Linked DNA regions of Drosophila melanogaster. The protein of the gene in region 4 interacts with the protein of the main gene of each other region in a pairwise test. Each region holds a gene or a part of one and is shown on either strand. Other genes may lie near its edges.

What was found.
Region 1: the proteins of Mad1 (region 4) and Unc-115a interact in a two-hybrid assay, tested with the Drosophila melanogaster proteins (one large-scale study listed by BioGRID).
Region 2: the proteins of Mad1 (region 4) and CG5516 interact in a two-hybrid assay, tested with the Drosophila melanogaster proteins (one large-scale study listed by BioGRID).
Region 3: the proteins of Mad1 (region 4) and dbo interact in a two-hybrid assay, tested with the Drosophila melanogaster proteins (one large-scale study listed by BioGRID).

What each region holds. Positions count from the first base shown.
Region 1 is NT_033777.3:9,693,879-9,701,447, reverse strand, and holds Unc-115a (uncoordinated 115a), read left to right. Parts: upstream 1-1,527; 5' UTR 1,528-1,819; coding exon 1,820-1,937; exon of another isoform or gene 1,938-2,016; coding exon of another isoform or gene 2,017-2,086; coding exon 2,087-2,397; intron 2,398-2,458; coding exon 2,459-3,130; intron 3,131-3,483; coding exon 3,484-3,540; intron 3,541-3,686; coding exon 3,687-4,240; intron 4,241-4,308; coding exon 4,309-4,482; intron 4,483-4,708; coding exon 4,709-4,848; intron 4,849-4,940; coding exon 4,941-5,026; intron 5,027-5,519; coding exon of another isoform or gene 5,520-5,626; intron 5,627-5,794; coding exon 5,795-5,861; intron 5,862-5,924; coding exon 5,925-6,166; intron 6,167-6,224; coding exon 6,225-6,338; 3' UTR 6,339-7,062; downstream 7,063-7,569. Other genes in the region: CG32939 (uncharacterized protein), read right to left, coding at 7,411-7,569.
Region 2 is NT_033777.3:15,961,966-15,965,296, forward strand, and holds CG5516 (uncharacterized protein), read left to right. Parts: upstream 1-1,918; 5' UTR 1,919-2,085; coding exon 2,086-2,132; intron 2,133-2,199; coding exon 2,200-2,683; 3' UTR 2,684-2,796; downstream 2,797-3,331. Other genes in the region: CG4287 (uncharacterized protein), read right to left, coding at 573-1,574; CG32856 (uncharacterized protein), read right to left, coding at 2,842-3,054, 3,109-3,219.
Region 3 is NT_037436.4:15,825,001-15,832,547, reverse strand, and holds dbo (diablo), read right to left. Parts: upstream 5,661-7,547; 5' UTR 5,452-5,660; intron 4,603-5,451; 5' UTR 4,546-4,602; coding exon 4,497-4,545; intron 4,230-4,496; coding exon 3,511-4,229; intron 3,363-3,510; coding exon 2,671-3,362; intron 2,533-2,670; coding exon 2,343-2,532; intron 2,278-2,342; coding exon 2,056-2,277; 3' UTR 1,970-2,055; coding exon of another isoform or gene 1,945-1,969; 3' UTR 544-1,944; downstream 1-543. Other genes in the region: CG12713 (uncharacterized protein), read right to left, coding at 1-20; DCP2 (decapping protein 2), read left to right, coding at 6,969-7,077. UniProt on the Drosophila melanogaster protein: Probable substrate-specific adapter of an E3 ubiquitin-protein ligase complex which mediates the ubiquitination and subsequent proteasomal degradation of target proteins. May have a role in synapse differentiation and growth.
Region 4 is NT_033778.4:9,288,457-9,293,141, forward strand, and holds Mad1 (mitotic arrest-deficient 1), read right to left. Parts: upstream 3,110-4,685; 5' UTR 3,002-3,109; coding exon 2,881-3,001; intron 2,825-2,880; coding exon 1,770-2,824; intron 1,717-1,769; coding exon 905-1,716; intron 844-904; coding exon 639-843; 3' UTR 501-638; downstream 1-500. Other genes in the region: Cog6 (component of oligomeric golgi complex 6), read left to right, coding at 1-456.

The DNA.
Region 1 (7,569 bases), on a different chromosome or scaffold from region 4:
AAGGCAGATAGTCAGCGAAACATAATGAAATTAATTAAAACGGGCAGAGCACGTACACGAACTTTAAACAAACTATGGGGCGGAAGTCCAAGTTGGTGACGAAAGCCCGCTCTCTGTCGAACAATATACACATGTATCCGTAAATGTATCTGAAACTGAGCCGGTGTATCTGTATCTGAGTTTGTATTATCAGGTCGTCTTTCATTCCAACTGGACCGCCGAATGTGAAAAATTTCGGTGGCGTCACCGCACAAATAAATATTCATTCTTGAATTTTTGTGTATGTACTATTCTCGCCATATTGAGATGTGTTGGTAACCTGGTAGATTGATCGTGTATATTAAGTAATAGTATTGGTTTTAAATTCAAAATAAACAGTGGAAAGAACATCTAGACCGTTGCTCTCCCTCTAAATTCTATATAATTCTTAGTTTTCCTCTTATCACTTAGCACATTTAAATCTACTTACAAATGAAGCTTTTAAAGTTTTTAATGAGTCTAGTCAGAATAGTTCTTATTCTAGTCACACAATTTAATGTTCTTGATTAGTTCTCCATGAATAGGAAACATTAAGAGAATGCTATAAACAATTTAATACAAGATAATGGCTGATACCGTTAGTGCGCAGACATACGTCACTATTATAGAACAAGCTAATGGCACACATGAACCTGAGCTACGGGCTTATCAATAATTTCTATTTTGGAAGCAACCCAAATATGAAAAAGCAACACAACTGCCGACTAAATTGGGGAAAAACAAAAAAATCCAAAAGGCCTGAAAAAACAACAGTGAGATGGTGAAAAATGTTCAGACAGCGCGATACAATGCGGTCGCTCTTATATACATACACACACATTTATCCACATATGCATATGTATGTATGTATATGTATCTTTACTCTTGTTATGCACTGCAAGCGGCTGCTTTTAGCCGATGTGGTGTGGCTGGGATGTTCCGCTGTCTATTTAATCAACCGCAGACTTCTGCCTCCGGCGGACAAGAAAGCCGCCAGAACAGATCAGCACATCAGTCATGGCCAACAATTAGTTTCGATGCGTTCAGCCGTCATGGTGCCGAGTTCCGAGCTCCAAGTTCCCTTCATGACTGATCTTGCAATAAGGAACACTATGTGTTGGCATGTAAGTCAACTCATGAGAATATATATGAGAATATATAGCTCCTGAACCAGATACAAACGATCAGATAGCAAATATCTGAGTCTGGTCAGATTATTGATTCAACAGGTGATAAAGCAAACGTATCTAAAGTTTCAATACGGCAGAGTCTTCCCAGAAGTCGCTTTACTTTCAGTGATTCTCAAAGGGTGGCAGTTTTGTCCCCCTTTCGCATTCCAAGTAATTCTTTATGAATGCTTGTTATCTTCTACCAAAGACACTAGTTATTCTAGTGTCTTTGCTTCTACCTTGCAGTTTATTTGCAGTTGGTTGGGATATTTCTCACACTATGTACACATGTGCATGCTACCCCCATGGACATATGCAAAACTGGGGGCTCCATGTCACACATCTATTTAACCTGTTCCACACTTGTGTGTACATTAACGAGCAGTGTTTGTGTGTGTGCTGTCTTTATATAAAGAAAATATCTGCCCTTGGCCTTATCAATGATAAGATTAATGGCTTGCCAGACCCGTGAGTCAGACTACAAACGACTTACGGCCATGTCGGGGTGTGTAGAAGAGTTGGCCTGGTTGTGACTGTCAATACAAGTGCTTACATAGGCACACAAGTGTGGGGGAAACAACGCACACACACATACAACGAATCTCGCAACATACGATATACGATAAGTTGTGATGTATATATTAATATATATATCCATTCCGAAACATCCACAAACAGACAAGACCAGACCGATATACCCTAGCACATTGGGAACGGAGCTTCGAACTGAGCTCGGTAAAACGGGGCAAGGTTGGGGCATTATCGCATCACATGCATATGACATCAGCGCAACACTGCGTATACGTAATCTGGCGATAGTACTGATTGAATGAATTTAATGTCAGGCTCTACTAACCGTAGTTCTCCCTTCGTTTTCGTCCCCTTTTCCCCGCAAACAGGTAAACAAAAAATCTACTGTGCGAAATGCACGAAGAAGTGCTCCGGCGAGGTGCTCCGCGTGGCGGACAACCACTTCCACAAGGCCTGCTTCCAGTGCTGCCAGTGCAAGAAGTCCCTGGCCACCGGCGGATTCTTCACAAAGGACAACGCCTACTATTGCATACCGGACTATCAGCGGCTGTACGGCACCAAGTGCGCAAATTGCCAGCAGTATGTGGAGGGCGAGGTGGTCAGCACCATGGGCAAGACCTATCACCAGAAGTGCTTCACCTGCTCCAAGTGCAAGCAGCCCTTCAAGTCGGGCAGTAAGGTGAGCTGAAACCCTCCACAGATCGAGTGATAAGTAACTAATCACATATTCCTCCTCACAGGTGACCAACACCGGAAAGGAGGTGCTTTGCGAGCAATGCGTCACGGGTGCTCCAGTGTCGCCCAGTCGCCAGGCGACGGGTGGAGGCGTCTCCTCGCCAGCTCCTCCGGCGGAGAGTCCGACGAGAGCCACTGCCCACCAGCAGCACGGCAGTGTGATCTCTCATAAGGCGCACCTCAAGGAGGACTACGATCCCAATGACTGTGCCGGCTGTGGGGAGCTGCTGAAGGAGGGCCAGGCACTGGTGGCGTTGGACCGGCAGTGGCATGTCTCTTGTTTCCGGTGCAAGGCCTGCCAGGCGGTGCTCAATGGGGAGTACATGGGCAAAGACGCGGTGCCCTACTGCGAGAAGTGCTACCAGAAGGGATTCGGGGTGAAGTGTGCCTACTGCAGTCGCTTCATTAGCGGCAAGGTGCTCCAGGCGGGCGACAACCACCACTTCCATCCGACCTGTGCCCGCTGCACAAAGTGCGGCGATCCCTTCGGCGACGGCGAGGAGATGTACCTGCAGGGCAGTGCCATCTGGCATCCGCGATGCGGTCCGGGTCCCTCCGAGTCCGGCATAATTTTGAACGGCGGCGGAGGCACTTCGTCGGTGGTCGGAGGTGCCTCCAATGGCAACTTCACAGACACTGAATGCGACCGGATGAGCTCCAGTGCCCTTAGCGAGATGGTAAGTAGTCGGATCTACAGATGATAAACCGCTGGTACTGAGATAATTCTCGAGACTCCAACACAACAATCCCGAGTTTAAAGAGGCTGCTGAGCTTGCAACTAATTTGAATGCTGCAAAATTCACGAAAGGCACACGCATTTAAAATCAAATTTCATACTAGAATGGGTGATATTTTAGAACTATTTTAGAACCTTATATATTATATTTATATAGGCACCCTGAAAATATCACCCATCTCAATTTACCACCCCCTTTTTGCACCTACACACAGCACTTATGATTTTATAATTTCAGTTACTTGCATTTTAGTTGTTTTGAGCTTGCGTTTTTATTTTTTCGTTCGTTTTCAGTACATCCGCTCCAGAACTCCGAGCTTTAATGGTTCACTTTATTCCTCTAGCCGCAAGGTTTGTTTTATAATTTTACTTTATGATTTCCCCTCATTTTCTGCCATCGTTTTTGAAAATACTAAAACCGAAAAGAAAAACACACGGCACTGCATGTATTTAAACTTTGAAATGAGAGCCCAGGACTAATCCCACTTAATTTGCAGCACTACCGAACGGTGAGTCCGGGTCTGATACTCCGGGAGTACGGACGACCCAATGCCGAGGACATCTCGCGCATCTACACCTACAGCTATCTGACGGATGCGCCGCACTATCTGCGCAAGCCGATCGATCCGTATGACAAGACGCCGCTGTCGCCGCACTTCCATCGGCCCTCCTCATACGCGACCACCGCCAGCAATGCGGGATCCGTGGCCGGAAGCCGCCCGCCGTCGCGTCCCCACTCGCGGACCCGCAGCGCCATGAAGGTGCTGGTGGACGCCATCCGCTCGGAGACGCCGCGTCCCAAGAGTCCTGGCATGAACAACGAGGAGCCGATTGAACTGTCTCACTATCCGGCCGCCAAGAAGCCGCCGCCAGGTGAGCAGCCCAAGATCGAGCGGGATGACTTTCCCGCTCCGCCGTATCCCTACACGGATCCGGAGCGTAGGCGGCGATACAGTGATACCTACAAGGGAGTGCCCGCCTCCGATGATGAGGACGAGAATGTGGAGAATGGCAAGCCGAATGGCAAGGTCAAGAATGGCGAGGAGCAGCAGTGAGTATTGGAATCTCTTGTGCATGCTATGATCCTAGATCCTATTAAATCTCTTCCCAAAAATACAGACGCCTTCAACGCGAAGCCGAACAGCTGGAAAAGCTTAACTCGGGCATCGGATCGGCGATTGCCAAGGACCTCAAGGAGCACGCCAAGTACAGGAAGTGGAAGCAGAACAATTTGGATCCGCGCAACGCATCCAGGACGCCCTCCGCTTCCAAGGAGCCACTCTACAAATTGAGGTAAGATATTGATCGTTATAAGAAAATTGAAAAATGATGATAATGAAAATTGATCGTTATAAGAAAATTGAAAAATGTATCTTCTAGTTCGTGCTCGGTGTATTTTGCACTTGAAGAAATCTATTATTATTTGTTTTAAAAATAGAACGATAAGATAGCAAAACATATGGTTATAGTATATAGTATAGTGTAGTAATACTAATCCTATGACATCTTGATTACACAGATACGAATCGCCCATTGGAGCATCGCCATCGCGCAATCTGGACCACCAGAAGCCCTTCTACGAGGACGAGATGTTCGATCGCTCCACCAGCTACCGTGGCTCGCTTGGCAAATCGCTTGGAAACGCGCCCAGCTACAATGGTAATCCTCTAGAGAGCATTGTCCTAGTTTCGATTTTCAGGCAAATAGCGATTCGATACCGATATTATATATTAGCCCACTTACGTTTATAGCCATACATTCCTACCGATCGCCGCCCAAGCCCGGATACGGATTCAAAACGACGACTCTGCCCTATATACGCAATGGCTTCAGCTCCGTAAGTGCTGCCTGTTGCTCAGATCGGCATAGATCGCATCAGATCCGATCCGATCCGATCAGATCAGATTATATCCTTGGTGCCGGGCTGTCGGTTATGTAGCTTATAGCTTACCCACTACCACACGAACCTATCCGCTTATATGTAATCCCAAAATAGTTACGACGGTATTTGTTTCTTGTTTCTCTCACTTTCCAATGCCGCCACTGGTTTGCTCACCTGGATGAACTAACAACTGTTTCGCATATGTCTCAACTGGTTGGTCTGCTGCTTCATTGCGTGTCTGAAAACCCAATCCCACCCATCCACCCATCCTGCGCCACTCCTAACAACTATGTGTTTGCTATTGTTGCCCTGACACCTGACAACAAATAACTCAAAAAACTAACACCCATCCACACTTGACCAACTAAAACTCGAACATTTGCATCATGAACATATCAACATCACTTGAACACCATCAACATGTACATCTACATCCACATCTGCTCAGTGGTGAGTGCGCTGCGCCATGTGCCCAAGCCAGGATACGGGCTAGCACCACGCTCCCACACATTCAGCTCCACCACATCCGCTGCGGCCACGATGCATGGTGCCACTGTAAGACCGCTTTCGTTGTTGCTATGCCGTAGAGTCCTTTGAGTCCCCGTCTTGTGTTTGGATGCCCGTTGGTATCACCTGTAACTTGCACTGGTTTTTCGTTTATTATTGTTGCATGTGTCCCTCAATTTGATCAGAAAACTAATCCCATGCCCTTTTCGAAAACAGGACTTCTCCTATGGAGGACTGGGCGACAAGACCCACAGCACAGATTTGAGCTGCGGCAAATCGGAGGGTAAGTGAAATATATTTTGAAAACCCGGCTCGGCGAAAGAATAACATAATTCTCCTCTGGCAGCTTCTGTGGACTCGATCACCGAGGGCGATAGGCGAGCTCTGATGGGCGGCGACCTGCCCGCCTCGAGCACTTACTCAGGAGCACTCTCCTACCACTATCCGCAGGCCGGACTCATCCGGCGCAGTCTGCCCAACATGTCCCATTCGATGCTGGTGCACGAGCCGGCCAAGATCTATCCCTATCACCTACTGCTAATCACAAACTACCGTCTGCCCTCGGACGTGGATCGCTGTAACCTAGAGGTAAGTTATGAAGCCAACTTCACAGACAGAACGCAAATAACGCTCTCTATCACCACAGCGCCATCTGTCGGACATCGAATTCGAACACATCTTGCAGTGCGCCAGGTCGGAGTTCTATCGGCTACCCCAGTGGCGACGCAACGAGCTGAAGCGGCGTGTGAAGCTCTTCTAGGAGGCAAGTGGAAGGCGCAGCATGCGAGGATAGCAACCCAAGTGGAGGAGGAGGCTGTTTGCGACGAAACCAAAAGAATTCAATTTACCTTAACAGCAGATGGCTATAACTCACGTGGCAGGAGATGAGAATCAATATATAAAATGAAAACGAAACGGGAAACTATGCTAATTTCACAGCCAGTTTTGAAACACGCTTTAAATAGTTGATGCAAGTGAAACCAACTAAACTAAATTTAAATACATAGTTACATTTACAGTGCGGAGCAACTAGCCGGCAGCTCCTGTTTATTTTTTTAAGAATTAGTTGCGCTAACGCAAAATTGTAACTGAGAACAACTATATGAAAGGAACATAAAATCCCAATAAAAAACGAAGTGTATACAGACAGATGATATATGAAATTAGTTAAACATTGCATGTCCCCGGCATGTAGGCTTTTTATACGCAGTGCTATGGCAATTTAAACGCAAACATAAACTGGACTCTTTTTCCAAATTACACCTTAATTCAACCATGTAACGGGCTACAGAACCGAGAAATGCATCAAAGAATAAGAAATTAATGTACCTACAGCAGAATCACACAGCAAAATGCGAAACATTAGATGTGTGGCATCAAATTTACGCTAAATCATTACGCAAATTTTATTTATTACTAAATATTTTATTTATTTATTTAAATAGAATATGTCAAAGAATAAACCAGAGATAATAAAACAGGACAAAAGCAGTGTCAACGTGTTTACAATTATTAAAACTTCGAGTGTGGAGATTATAAAGTTTCTTCTTAATCCTAGACGGAATTTACTCTTTGTCGAGCCGACAACGGCTAAAGTCTGTCGACATGCAGGAATGTTTGTGGAGTATTAGCTTACTATATATTGGCTAAACTGGCTTTAAACATTGTCGAATCGATAAAGAAACGCCATCAAGGGCATAATTCGGTGTGATTTGAGTTCGGGACGCAATATGTGACTGGAATGTAAAGTTCACAGAATAAATACGTAAATATTAAATAAGATTCCACAGAATCCATTTATCTATCATCTATATTGCACCATTGGTAACGCACTAGTTTTGCTTGTGCAAAGCTGCTCCGTCGGTACGTAACCCATAGGTCAGCTGGGTTTTCATCACTGCCAAACTGCTGCCAATGATCTTTTTGTGGTAGATCTGCCGCGTAACGAACCCAAAATCATCATAAAAGTCGCGCTCACTTTCCTGCCACTC
Region 2 (3,331 bases), on a different chromosome or scaffold from region 4:
CCTGAAAACTAAGCACAGCAAACGGAAAATAAATTAAACATTTTGTGTAAAGTTCGATGACAGACCGAAGACGACAGCATGAACACGTACGAGTATATACATAATAAATATATATGAGAACAATTTAACGAGATTAAAATCAACTAAAGTAATAAAGGGAAAGTGTATAACTATTAAAACTAACGAAACGCCAAGCTCTTTCATTTCGATTTTCGCATATTGCATTCAATTTATTCACAATAATTTTCGATACATAAATTACAGGATCTAACACTAAACGGATTTAATAAAACATATTTTTGGACAATACACAATGAATTAACAGTGGGGTTAATAAGCATGCGATTGTGCGCCAGTGGCACGCCAATTAATAATTTACAATATTGCAATTGACTAAAATCTGTAAATCTCATAGGTGTCCCCATATTTGCAGGGCAAATACCCTCGGACTCGAAGCGGGGATTGGGATTGGCTTCGCTTTGCTTACGGCTAGTAACACAATTTCAATGATTTTTCGTTGCCCTTACACCTCGGAACACTTTGCTAGACATTAATGTGCTTTTAGTGGCGGGTCACCACCGGGGACTACGTCGATTTGGTTCGGAACGCTCGTATTGGATGCTCTTGAAGCGGCTACTTGCCTCCAGATGCAGCTGCTGCTGTTTCGGTTCCGGATGTCCACGAGTGACAATGTCTTTCCAAATCATGGTCAAAAGTATGAAGATAGCACCCACAATCTTGTTCAGAAACTCGATTAGTTTAAACACTATTGGAGTGGCTGTATGTGTGAAACGACTCAGCTCAAACAGGAATCGCACAGCAAATACGCCTAGGAATCGTAGCGCTAGTGCGGCTCCACCCAAGGCAGAGAAAATTAGTAGACCCAGAAACCGAATGGTGCCCAAAATGTTCCTCTTGTTGACATCGTTGGTCATGAAGTCGTACACGGTTTGTTTGACTCCATCACCCCACTGTTGCAGCACAGCCAAAAAATCATTAAGGCCCAGCTGAATTTGCTCCGCCACTTCATCCGGCTTGGAGGAGGAGTTTTCCCCACCCGCTGTGATCGCCTTAACAGGGCTACTTCTATTAAGAATCAGTGATCTCCTCGGCGTCGCCATCAGCTCTGGCTCCACGGGCCTTATCATCTTCAGTTTGAACTGGACTTCATGGTCCCGGAAGCGAAGGGTCTTGATGCTAAACCAATACTCTCCAAAAGCCAGATCATTCATCTCTGTCCAGATGCAGGTTTCCAGTTGACCAGGATCTGCTTTGTGCTGGTAACTTCCGTAACTCCCATAGGTGATGCCCACCCACATATTGGGCACGAAGCGTTGATAAAACTTTTGTAATTGGCCGGCACTCGAGTGCAGCAGCTTCTCCAACTCTCGCTCACTGCGTTGAAGCACCACCACGTCCCGGTAGCCGGACACCTGCTCCACCAAGCAGCGTTCCATATAATAACCGCGGAAGAGACGAGACTTGTAAAGCTGCTTGGTTAGTGCTTGCATGGCCAGTTCCTCGGGCGGCATATGACGTCCGCTCGCCTGTGGCATCAACGCGCTGTTGTCCATGGCTAGCTGTGTATGAAATCCTTTATTACTGGTCAGCAAATGACCTGCAGCAACCTTACCGATTGATAGTGATTGGACTTTGTTGCAACCACTTTCGCCGCTTAGTCAGCACAGCGCTTTTGTTATTGTTTGACCAAGCAATTTGTGCCAGTCAATTAAGGGTGAAATAGCTGTCAGCTGTTGCTTATTTCTTATTTTTTTTACGACCATGCATAATGCACTTAAATTTTGGCTTAATTAACTTTAAAATTCAGACATTTCAACATAAACCAGGTAGACACAAATTAGGCAAGCAGCTGTTGAGTTCGATAGCCGATAACAATAAGGGTGACCATACCATATACAGTCGATTTGCGAAGTATACAATTTTCAGTGGACTATCGCTAATGTGACGAAAAAAATTATAAAAAACATTTTTGATACTCATTTTTCCCAGTTTTTCCACCCGGCCACGTTGGTTTCCACCCACATCAAGATTTCCTCCCAACAGCGTCTGCTCGAGTGCTTCAGGATGACTTTGGTGGGCCTAGCTGCCCGCAAATTAGCGCAAAAGAAGAGGTTAGTCGCGTTTAAGAAGTACCCCAGCCGGCTTTTTTGTTGTAACCTACGAATTCTGTAACAACAGATCCGCAAAGCAAGCAGCAGACTTTCCCAATGGCATCCGGTGCCAGAAGTGCCTGCAGATCGGACACTGGAGCTATGAGTGCAAGGAGAAGCGCAAATACGTCCACCGGAGCTCGCGTACCAAGCAGCTAAGCAAGCGTATGTCCCAAAAGGAGGCTGACGCACCCAAGAACCAGGTGGAGGAGCACTCGGAAGTGGCTTCCTCGGAAGGAAAGAAGGTCCGTCGAAAGCGGAAAACGAGCAAGAGCTCCTCGTCCTCCTCCAGCTCGTCGGACAGCTCAGACAGCAGCAGCGAATCGGGCTCCTCATCCGAATCAGACTCGAGCAGCTCCAGTTCGGATTCGGACGACGAGGAAGGCAGCTCGTCAGACTCCAGTGGAAGTGGCTCGGACAGCGACAGCAGCGAGGATCAAAAGCAGGGAGCTCCACAAAAAAAGAAAAAACGAGCCGGGAGTTCACCTGAATCTTCTGACGATCAAGAGTAATCAAGAGACCGATTTGTGGTCTGTAGTATGTAGCTTTACTAGTTTAGTTTTCCCACACTTACACCGAAAATGAACATACTTTTGGTACTGTATTGTTTATATTTTAATGCTCCCAACATGTACGTTTTTCTGGTAAAGTTCCAGCCTTAATAACAATTTTAATCCGAGTCGACTTCCTCCTCGAAACGCCTCATTTGGCTTACGAGATCCAGATCTATTTGCTGGCTGTTGACGAGATGGGACTCCATCACAGTTGTGATTGGGGACTGCTCCACCGACAGATCTATGTGGAGGGGATCCCTTCCAGGGGAGCACTGCGTTTTTGGGTTCTGCTGGCCCACCACCTGAGACTTGAGATGCAGCTCCTCTACCTGTGGAACACTGAATTGGGAAAACCGTCATTGAAGCAAGAGATTTGTAGATACCTTTAGTGAATTTAATGCCTCCTGAATGACGGGGAGCACTCGGTCGAGTTTCTTCTGGATAGCAAATAGTTCAGCCTGCTCTTTTTGAAGGACTCGATTTGTTTGCAGCATTTTGAAAACAAATAATAAACTTTAACCTTAGAAAGACCCCTTTTTAATGAAGGCCTTATATGGTATACTTCCAATGGACAAGGAAATAAATGAATTGAATTTAGATTACTTA
Region 3 (7,547 bases), on a different chromosome or scaffold from region 4:
TCCGGAATTTGGGACATCATTTCCGGCCAGAAATACAAAACTATTTCAGCGAACGTATGAAAGAGCGCCAGAATAAACAGCTGTTTAACGTACGCTAATCGAATACACATTTTAATTTATCGATAGCTGACGTGCCTGAAGTTTCTCCACGTCGCGAAGCGTTCACACTGGTCGGCAGTGTATATCGAAATGTTCCGAATGCATTTAGTTCAATTATTTTCATAAAATTGTTATCATAATATTGACTTCTTGAAAAATGTTTAAAATAACAAAATGTGTGTAGTGCCACCAAATCAGTGTGTGCGAATTAAGGCCTAAAACAAAAACAATCGGGTTCGAGCATCGGCTATCGGTAAAGGATCCAATATCGTAACTATTGTACCGATGCGTACCAGTACCGCGTAACGGTACATTGATTGCATTACAAATTTATAAATTATAGAATATAATACAAAATAGTACACTTGGATATTTATTTTTAATTATTTTTTGGCAGCAATTTCCGCCCTTGGCTGTAATGTATTGAATGAAACAAAGTGTCTTAATTTTGATATATTTTTATTTTTATATATTCTTATACATAGCACGGGTTTACGATCATTTCTTAGGTTAACACTTCTATTATTTGCGTTAAGCACTTTTACCACTCAACACAACTAGGAAATGTTATTTTTTAACTACGCATAATGGGTGGTATGCGAATTTTTGTATAATTGTTGACCATTTTGACTTAAAGCTATAATATAAATAAGCTTGGTTTTTTATAAATGCTATTCTTATTCATCATTTGGAAGCAAAGATCATTCCTTTTTGCTCGATTTAACAACAGTTTATAAATGTGCACCTAAAATAAACTAAATGAGATACGAAAGCGTGTAATAAATAATAATTTTGAATAAATAATTGTTTAATAGTGTTGGTGTAAAAGGCAACAAAGAAAATGTGTTGTTATTGAGAGTCTACTTGTGTTTTAACTCCCTTATCTAAGCGATTAATTCGAGTTGGTTCATTCAGCTCGATGGTCAAACTTGGTTTAACAATAAGTCATCTTAAAACTTGACCTGATTCCGGCCGAAAACTCTTACCGGTTTACACGATCTAGGATTAACAATATTAAAATTTATTACCTTAAAGTTGATCTTACGGCTGCGTAATTGTTAATTGTTACTATTGAATTATCTTGGGCTAGGTCTAACTTCTTCATTGTGTGTGTGTGTGATTACCTTAATGGTTTTTTTTTAAGCTTGACAGGCTGAATATTCATTATTTTTTTAAATTCTTTGCAATTATTCGGTTCACTTCATATAGTCGTGGTATTATTGAAGACGTTTGCAAAGATTTAAAGTGTACTTGACTAAACAACAGCGTTTAGTTGGTCGATCGAAATATTGCACCATTGTGATGTTTAATTTCGGACAAACTTTCTTGAATTCACTCCTTAAATCTAAATTATTTTAATACCAATTTGTTACTTGACTTTAGAGCTCTTCGTTTAAGGATTTACAACTAATCGAATTCGTTTCTAGGTTAATATTTGATTTTGTTTTGTTTTTTTCGAAAGAAGGCATGGTTATGAGCTAGCGATTTCCATGAAATACCACCGGCAACATTTAGATATTAAGTTATTTATAAAATATACTTGCTTAACATACAGTAGAATCATATATAATTACGCACAGGAGTGATGGGGATGTGTTATTGCAGGTGAACGTGGGAACAATGCTAACTCTAATACTATTCCGGAAAAGTCTAACAAACATGCGCTTTAGGCTCTACCAAATAAACAATTAACAATTAATACAAAGCGATTACACTGCTAGTAGACAATGGGGCGAAAAGATGTTTTGTTTAGTCGATTAGATTTGGCTTCGATTGCGGATATTGTTAGTAGAAGTGCGGCGGCGGCAACGTTTGCGAGGGCAACGTTGTCGGCTGCTGTTCCCATCAGACAACAGAATCTTTCCGTATCCTGAATTTGTTAGCATGTTTTCGGGGGGAAAAGAGAGACAAGACAACATTTCATCAGCAATGGAAGGGATGGGAGTTGAGTTAGTTTCAGGAATTCGGTTGCTTAAAACTATTTTCGCACCACATATAGTTCTCAGTCTGAGGGGCACGCATAACGCCCACGCCGCCGCCCAGTCGGCGGTAGTTCATGCAGCCGCACAAACGCCATTGGTTCGTCTCTGGGTCGTAGACCTCGATGGTTTTCAAATAGGCGGAACCATCAAAGCCGCCCACAGCATACAGCTGTCCATTGACGACGGCCAGGCCAACCTAAAATGGTGCGATTTCATTTAATACAATACTATTCGCCGAGAAAAAGTGTAACAAAAACTCACCCCACTGCGGCGGGAGGTCATGGCCACGATGGGGCTCCAGGTATTGGTCAGTGGATTGTAGCGCTCGGCGGACGAGAGCTCCATGCAATCGTCTCGCCCGCCGACGGCGTAAATGTAGTTATTGAACACAGCACAGCCCAGGTGCTTGCGTCGCGTTGACATCGGGCTGACTGCTACCCATTTGTTGTGTCTGTAATGATAAAATCGGGGCAATGTAAATCAAACAAATACTACGTTCAAGTGCAATGTACATTAAGGTCATTTGTTACAAGCGATAGAAAATGTACTTGTACGTCTAAAGCTTTTAAATGCTTTATTTATGATTTACCTGGGATCATATCGCTCTACGGTGTTCAACGGGCACTGTCCATCGGAGCCGCCAATTGCGTAGAGAAATCCTCCAAGCACGGCTACCGCCACTCCCAGTCGCCTTGTTGTCATCGGTGCCACTTTCGACCATTTGTTCTCTTTTGGATCGTAGCGCTCCACGTGGTTCAAACATTGAACGCCATCCTGGCCACCCACCGCGTACAAGAAGCCGTCGAGCACAGCCACGCCGACGCTGGTGCGGCAGGAAGTGGTGGGCGCAACGTCGCAGGACCATTGATTCGTTTGTGGATCATAACGCTCGATGCTATTCAGATAGCTCTGGCCATCGTGACCGCCCACGGCGTAAAGTAGATCATTTAACACGGCCACGCCAACTCCGCAGCGTCGTTTGCTCATGGGAGCGACCATTTTCCAGTCGTTGGTCTGAGGATCGAAACGCTCCACGGAGGCAATAGCATCGCCGGAACACCAACCGCCCACGGCGAACAGGACTTCGCCTCGTCGAGTTGGCTTTCGCGGTCTGGTGCGTGGACCCTGCATCAGCGGTCGCTCCTGCGGAAGCAACAGATAGTTCTTAGCCTCATCCACCAAATCCCGGCAGGCCTCGTCGCTGCGCACCAGGAGATCAGAGCCCACCGTGCCAACCAGGAACTTTGGCGACAGCAGAGGCAGACGGACGTGTTGGAGCACCTGAGAATATTCGAAAATATCAATTCATTATTTATTTATTAGTTGCAATACTTAAAAATTGAGCTGTTTATATTATTCCAAAGTAATTATCAAACGGAACAAGTAGGAATCGGTGAGTAGTAATCAGATATGGTTTACAGTAGCTCACCTGTGCCAGATGTTGTCGCCGCTCGGCGACATTGTACTTGAGCCAGGACATGACCGCGTTGAAGACCTGCTCCTCGGAGCGCACGTTTAGCTCGTCGCTGCAAATGATGTCCACCAGCTGGCCGACGGGGAGCAGCAGAAACTCCTCGCTCTCCATCACCTCCTGGAAGTTGTGCTGCGTGAATTTGTCGGCGATCCGTAGAAGTTCCCGGCAGGAGTGTGTGTCGGCAAAGGCGCGTATGCCCAGGCAGTTGGTGGGATCCAATTGCCGTTTGAGGAACTCGCAGCAGATGTCCTGAATCTCAACCAGTTGAAGCAGGCAGGCGGCGGGAAGGAGGGTCTGGACATTCGACTCCTCGACGATTATGTGGGCGGTGTAACAAAAGTCGATGAGCAGCTCCATGGCATTCTCATCGATGTCGCGTATGGTGACCTCAGTCTGGCGCGATTCCTCCAATTCGCCAGTGAACATGGCACAGAAGTAGGAGCTGCAGGCGGACAGGATTACCCGGTGGGCAAAGATCTTCCGTCCGCCCACGTTGAGCACCACATCGCAGAGCTCCCGATGGCGCCGTAGCATATTTAGTTCAGTGAGCGTGACCTTCGGATGTTTCTCGGACGTGTGAGAGAGGCGGGCGGGCGACGGAGGTCGGTCCACTGCCGTAGATCCAACGGAGGAGCCGCCACCAGCCGTGGAATTACCACCGGTACCGGTGACAGCTGTTGGCATACATAATGATTTTGAGTATAAAAATACCATATGTTTGGAATAGTACAAATAAACTTAATGGTACCGATTAATTGGAATTGTGAATGAGAGTTCAAATACTTTTTTATGAAGGAAAAACCTTTTCTAATAGTATTTTTTAGCTGAAAGATCATAGTCTTACGAACAAATATGAAGTATTTAAAGTCACATGAGGCACACAGGTTGCCCCTGGCTTGCTCTCTTCCCAATTCCAAACCAAGCTCCTATCAAATCCTTACCAGCATCCCGTGGTTGAGCGGTGGAGCCCGAGCCCGGCAGGTCGCCCATTCTGTTCGCTGCTAAGCGCAGCGGGCCGGAAGCAACCCAACCCCACACGGCGTCTATCTGTGGGCAGAAATGGTAGTATATAGTAGAATAGTGATTAATGGTCAAGTCAAAGTAAATTAAATCAATGCGTAGGTAGGGCGTAGAAGGGCGGCATTGAACTCGATTATAAGTAAGTAAGTAACTAATCAATTTACAAGGACATTGTGCTTCGTTTAATATCTTCTTGAAGCGACTGTTTACTTAATAAATTAAGTAATTGTACATTTTTGATGCAAATAATTCATATTCTGGGCACTGGATGTGGAAATTCTGATTTATTTTTCTTGTCCTCCGCCCTTTTGCACCACCCACACACAGACATGCTGTGTAACACGCACACATTCACAACTTCGGATCTGCGGATACTAAGGTGGACCTTTCGACTAAAGAAACATCTTAACACTAATACGAGTGTTATTTAAGGTATTCATTCAACACGTTAAGTTTAACAATCCACCATTCGTATAAATGATATAAAATAAATATTAATAATCCTTAAATATTTAGAAACTTTAAGCTAAAAGATCGTTACTTGAAACTTCTGTTTTGAATCTTAAAATAGCTAAGTTTTAAAATTAAAACATGTACTTTAATTGGTAAACAAATTGGCAGGTTGAGTTAATCGATGGTTAAGATAAACAGTTCTCTAGTTCAATAATATGCTTGTGGAATTATCTTCAACCTAATTTAATTAAAACTGAAATCTCTTTTATTCATGTGATATATGTTCAATCGCTTTTACAACATTCACTCCATGGAACACCTTAAAACTGAAAGGTAACCTGGTCCACCCACAAGCACACACCACACACACACACACGCGGATGATGTTGGTTTAGATTTCGATGTATATGTTGGTGTCCCAACCTTTGCGTCTCTGTTCTCTACGGATACAAAGCACGTCCAGGGCCAGCTGCAGGCGGAAAATTTCGAAAATGCAATCTTGATGGCTTAAAAGGACCACATCGAAGATTTTCCTTGCGCGAATTGCACTTTTCAGTACGGAAAAATCGTTTTTTGGTTGGCCTGGAAAAGTCGAAACACGAAACGATTGGTATGGCGATAGAGATGTGAGAAATGCATAACAATATCAGTGTATCGATATTTTTGAGAATACACTTATTTATATTGTGATACTTTGGTGGACATTTCGTTATATCGATATTGTTATTAAATCGTAAACGTAAGCTAATTTTAAGGAGATCTGTTTGAAATATCTCTTCACATTTTTTTTCGAAATTAAAATAAGAGATCACATATTTTTAAATAATTAAAAATAAAATAAACACTATTTGTATACAACTACAAGTAAGTGCAACGGAAGGGAATCTAACTGTGAATTATTGAAATCATTATAATAATCTCTTAAAATTTTCATTAGTAAACTGTCTTTTAATATTCCCGAAAAAATAAGCAAATAACGTAAGACAGGCTTTGTAAGAGTACATTTATCACAGAGCCAACTGTATTTGGCTTCCCTGGTCGCTAAAGAAACGGTATATTTTGGTATCTTAGTGAGCAGCATGCTGGTATTTTTTATTTCATACTATTTCTATACGCGACGCTGAAGAGGAAGGCGAGTTTTGAGCAGTTGAAAAGCCCGTTAAATAGTGCAAAATAGTAGCTAATTTTAAGTGCAACGTGTAAATAAAGGCAATTTAGATCGCGAAAAAGTTCGGTGAGCAAATAATAATTTGAGATTGGAAAGTGGAAAGTACGTGAACTGGGCGAGAAAAGAAAACGGAAAAACGTGAGACTGTGTGCGTGCGAAGAATTTTCCGTCTCCCTCGCACCAAAGTGGAGCGCACTCAATTATTTTGTGGATGGAGTGGAACACAAACAACAAAAACGACAACGACTATAGCAATAACAAAAACGACGACACAGCAACAAAAACAGCAATAGCAACAACAGAATTAAATGCAAATGCAAAACATGTTGAGGGAAAGAGAGCGAAAATCGAGAGAACAATAGCAAAAGGATGTAATGCAACCGATGGAATAACTAGAGTACAAGTACAAAAATTGCATTGGAAATTTAAATTCGTGCGACAAAAGCGGACGATTGCAGAAATTTTCGAAACTTGGCAGCCATATTTACTACAAAAGCAACGCCGTTGTAAAAATACGTGACAAAACGCTTACACACACATACTCACATTCGTACACCCACACACAGTTGCGCTCTCTCACACACATACACACAGTTGCGCTCTCTCACACATAAACACACAAGCGTATCGAAAGACTGGTGCAGACAGAGAGAGACGCGAATGTGAATTAACAAACAAACAAAAATATTTTGCGAAAAAGACAAACACAAAAAGTAAAGCCAATAAAGTGTATTACATAAACAAACGGAGCTCCGATATCTAAATAAATATTATGGAAATCGCACCACTGATCAATAACGCCGTCGCTGTCGTCACAGCCTCTGCCTCTGCCGCCGTCTCTGCCTCTGCTAGCGTCGGCAGTAGCAGCAAGGATGATAACGGTAGGCGGGTCTCTAGATGATAAGCGGTACACTTCCAGTGGGTTCATAATAAACTATAAAAATAATAAAATATATGTAAATACAAAGCATAAAGTGTAGTACGTGCTCGAAAGAGTCACACTTTCTCGTTAAAGAACTTCACGTTCTATCCATATTATATGATTATTATGTTTCAAAATCCTTTATAATCAAAAGCGAATTAGACAATCAGAATATCTCCCACCCAGCAATTCATAATCTATATAAAATATAGTCAGAATATTGCAATCATACAAAAATAAATACAAACACAAGGACTTAAGTATTTGGCTTTAATCAAAATATATCCATTTGTTTCTTTGCCTTAATTAGTTTACATCATTAATAATCGTATATTTTTAAGGCTAATATCACGTAGCTAAAAACTAAAGAACTAGGCTAATTTTTTATCTGGTAAGATAAAAAGTAAATAAAAATTTCAGCGGCCTTGA
Region 4 (4,685 bases):
TACCTTTTGAACTGTCTGCATCACATGCAAAGCTCGCTGGCTGTCTACGAATATATGGATGAGCGCGTGGAGCGGCTGCAGGCGCAGTCGGATGCCCAGTTGGACACACTGACCTCCGAGCAGGCATCATCGCTGGTGGCGAACCTCAATCTGGGTCCCATCTACGCCATTCTGCAGAGCAATCAATCTAAAATAGAAACAAACCTGCTGAAGATCTTCATGTCCAAGATGGACGCCTTTCTGGAACTACCCGATGTATTGCTCCTGCCGCAGGTGCAGCTCATAATGTCCAGCAGTCACCGGGCCGCCGTTCAGAAGCGATCCTTCAACGTGATCGTGGCCATCTACAAGCAGATCTACGAACGCGTCCACGATCCGGCCAACGGCTTCGAGCAGCCGGAGCAGCTGCTGCACAGAACGCCGGAGCAGGTGGCTCACATCCTGACCTCCACTTAGTGGATTGGGTATTCCAATTTCTATTGTGCATTACTATAATTTATATGTATTTATATGTGGGGAAGTTTATTGTTAGCGTGGTAAAATAAAAAACCAATCGTATATCTGATGCGGACAAGAATAAGTTTCAATGCCTTCATACTCGGCTAGCTTAAGCTAAGACAGACTAAAGTAATGATGACCTAAGTCATCGTGACAGTGGCCTTTTGGAATAGTTCTAGGGTGAGGGCGGAAAAGAATGCGGGAAAGTTGCTGGCTGCCAGCTGCTGATCAATAGGTGGATTGAATGTGTGCGAATATGGCGACTCCAGTAGCGCCAAACAGTTCGATTCGTTGAGGCTGATGTCCAGATAGTCATCCGGTCCCTCTGCAAACATGCTCGATATGCTGCAAGAGAAATATTAAATGTTAGCAACTAAGATGGAGGATCTATGGAATCGCTACCCACCGATAGTTGCTGTTGGCACCGATTCGATCGATCCTATAGCCTAGCAGCATGTAGCACACATCGCGGAACTCCTCTCGGGCCGCCTTGAAGCAATCCCTCATCTTCCGCATCTTGCCATTGGCGGACTCTAATTCGGCTTGAAGTTGATTGAACTCCTTAAAGTTCAGTGTCATGCCGCCCGTGCTGGTGGTTTCATTGAGCCTTTGCTCGTTATCGTCCTCCAACTTCTTGTTGCGCCGCTTGAGTCGCTCAATCTCCGCCTGCAGCTTCTCCATCATGTTTTTGGTGGACTCATAGGCTTCGGCAGCGGGATTTTCACTAAAGTGTACCACCTTGAAGTCCTTCATGTTGAAGTCGCCCCGCAAGCAGCGGTGCATCATCTCCATCTCCAGTTCCTCCTTGCGCCGACGCAGCCGATCGTTTTCCATCCGCAGCGTATCCAGTTCCTTTTTGACGCTATCGTATCCCTCTCCGGCAGGTTCGTTCACAAGCTCCTGCTGGCGCAAGGATTGAATCTCGCGTTCCAACGTGGCACACATGTCCTTGTATCCGGTTACGGTGCGTTCAAGCACCTCCATTCGGACCCGCACCTGCATGTCCTGCGTCATGTCCGCCACACTGGCATTGCTCAGGGTCGTGTCCTTGTCGAAGTTTTCCACCAGTTGTTTGTAGAAGTCGCGCTCCTTAGACACGGTGATCAGTTTGCGCTGCAGTCGCTCCTTGAAGTTCTTGTGGCGTTTCAGTCCGATATTGAGATCCTCGATGTTCTTCAAGTAAATGGCGCACTTATGCTCTAGATCTCGAATTGTGGTCTATAAAATGGAGTCAGATAAATTGGACTTGGAACACATTGGACAAAACCTACATTCAAATGCTTGGTATCCGAAGCCGATGATGTCTTCTCTGCCACGTGAATGATGTCTTCTTTTAGCAGTTGCTCAATGCGCGAGCGTAGGGCCATTGGGCTGACCAAAGTGTTGGCCAAGCAGTGATCCTGGGCCACCTTGACCCATTCCTTGAGTTCTTGCTCCATGTGAAGCAGTTTCACCTGCAGGGAAGCTGCTTCCGCCCGAGCACCTTCCTCCCGCTCCAGTCGCGTTTTGTAGTCGTAGACCTGCTCCTCCAGAAGCAATTTATCGCCTATCAGAGTGTTTAAATGCTTGTTGTGGCTGCGCAGATGCTCCACCTCAGCTAGCAAATCTGGAACACTGGCCAGGCGCTCTCGTGAGGTTTTGACCACCTCCTTCCAGTCGCTATACGACTGAATTTCGAACTCCAGCTCCTGAATGCGATCGTTGGCCACCTTCAAGCTTTGCGTTTGCTTCTCGTGATTGGCGCGCAGCTGCTCGAATCCGGAAGCCCTGGCCTGTAACTCCTCATTGAGTTGACGTAGGCGCTCCAGTTCGTTGCGCGTAGACTGCAGTTCGAGATCGGCCCGCTGGGCTATGCGGCGATATTCGCTCAGTTCGTTGTTGATGCACAGGTGCACATCGCGGGCATCCTCCTTCTGCAGGTACTTCTCCTTCTGCAACTTGAGCGTGGATTCATCGAACTTAAGCCTAAGTTGGTTCAACTCGGCGGTGGCCCGACTGGCCTCATTCTTCAAGACCAGCTCTCGCTTACGAAGCGCCTTAAGATCGTCCTGCAGCTCCAAATTCTTCTTGCTGGTGATGTCGCACTGATCCTTTAAGGCCGTGCTCTTGTTCTCAGCCAGCAATATGGCCTCTTTGTGTTCCCGGCTCTTCTTTTCGATTTCGTTACGCAGCTGAATTACTATGGCCTTGGTTTCGATCAGCTCGGTCCGTAGTTTGCTGTTCTGCAAAGAAGCCATGGAATCGTTGGCGGGCATATTGAGGGAAGAGGCGGTGTCGTTAAGACTGCGTTCCGGTGATTCCCGTTCCCGACGTCGCTTATTGGGTGCTAGTAGAGGAGTTACTTGTTAGTTTCTACGTTCGCGCCTGTAAATTACAACTTACAAACTCCTAAATCGAAGGAGGCGGAAAGCCGGTTGAAAAGTAGTTTCTTGGGTGCCGAATGGGTAATGCTGTCGTTAAAGCGGTCCATCATATCATCTATGCTGCTACGTATGTCGTCCATTTTAAGTTGTATGTGGGAGACCTTAGTTGACGTTTTCAGTAAAGATATTTACTTTTTATTGCTAAAAGAAGTTGGTAAAATATTAATCTTAGAGTGGCTGCAAATATTTAGACAAGAAATGCCAAATATTGGTCATATTTTATTAGTATTAAAGTGGCCGATAACTTTGGCTTTTGTATCCAAAATTGTCACCAATAATCAAATATACGTATATTAATCTGGGAAATAATATCTTAAAAGGGACAGTTGTCTTAAGCAATTTCTTTATTTGGTGTGTTAATATAAAATCAAGAAAACAAATCAAAAGCTAAGTTGGCAGCCCAGTTTAGTATATTCGAGCGTGACTCTTTTCTGCACCACCCAAAAGTATGTTACACGAAATACTACAGGTAAAAGAAATCGCAATCGATAACGATAGTTCTTCGAGTGTTGCCGAAAATAAAAATTGATTTGCATTTCTTCTCGGCTTAAAATGAATTAAATGTTATTGTTTCCGCACCGAAAAAACTCATAAATCGTTAAAACAACAAATTCCGAAATCGGAATTAATTCGAACAATTGAACAACTGCCAAAAACTAGAACGTATGTGAAGCGTGTGTGTCGTACATACCAAGAGATAAGGACAAAAAACGGTTAAAAGAAAGCTTTCAAGAAAGAGAGTATAGAAAATAAATTTTACTAAAGTAACAAAAAAAAAACAACGAAACGCGTGTGCGTGTGCAACAAAAAAGTGTATGTCAAATAAGAAAATGTGGCTCCAGCGATAACGGTACTCCAATGTGCTCTCTCGCACGCACACAGAAGCATCCCGCACACGTACACCACCACCACTGCCAAAAAGCAAATCCTGCCCAACAGCCGCACCTATAAAAGTGGGCGTGGGTTGACCCAAGTTACTGTAACAAATTTGCAAAAAGTGATGCATGCTAATTGTTTAAACAAATCCCAGCTTTCCTAATCAAATACCTTTGCGAATTCCAATACACACCTATACACACATACCCACGCAGTGATTGGTGTGGAGAGGAAGAAGGAAAGGAAGCCAAAGGACAGGATAGAAAAGCAAGAGGAAGAACGAAACAGCATCGGCGCGTTGGAGAAATGTGCGGGAAGAGAAGATTGAAAATAAACGTGTAGTAGAGAATTTTTGAGACACTCACACGCACACACTCCTCCCACACTCTTTCTCTCTGTCTCTCCGTCTATACCGCTTGCCGCCTACACACACACATACTTAAGTAGACGCACGAGAGTTCTCGTATCGCGAAAAGCGTGTGCTTTGTTGTTGCCTCTCCCACTCCCTCGCTCTAAGAGGCGCTCCCGTGTTGTTTTTGTTGTTATTGCCGCTGAGCAAATGGCAGACCCTCTAAGCGGGTGCCGCTGGTGATAACATGTCGTAATGGCCAGAGAGGTAAGTGCAAACGTGCTAAAAGCAAAGCAAAGCCGGCAACTACGGCTTAACCGTTTTAGTTTTCCCGATCACCACGGTACCGCAAGTTACTTTGCCAAAATCAGCTGTTCTCACTTCATCACCATCCCCCATCATTCACATCTGCAACCAACGGTGTTAGCCTCTCCCAACATTAAAACAGTTAACCCTATGTCATATTTTTCCAAAGAAGTTTAACCCAACACTACAACTTAATAATAAAAATGCTGCGTGTAACAAATAATTATTCTCTG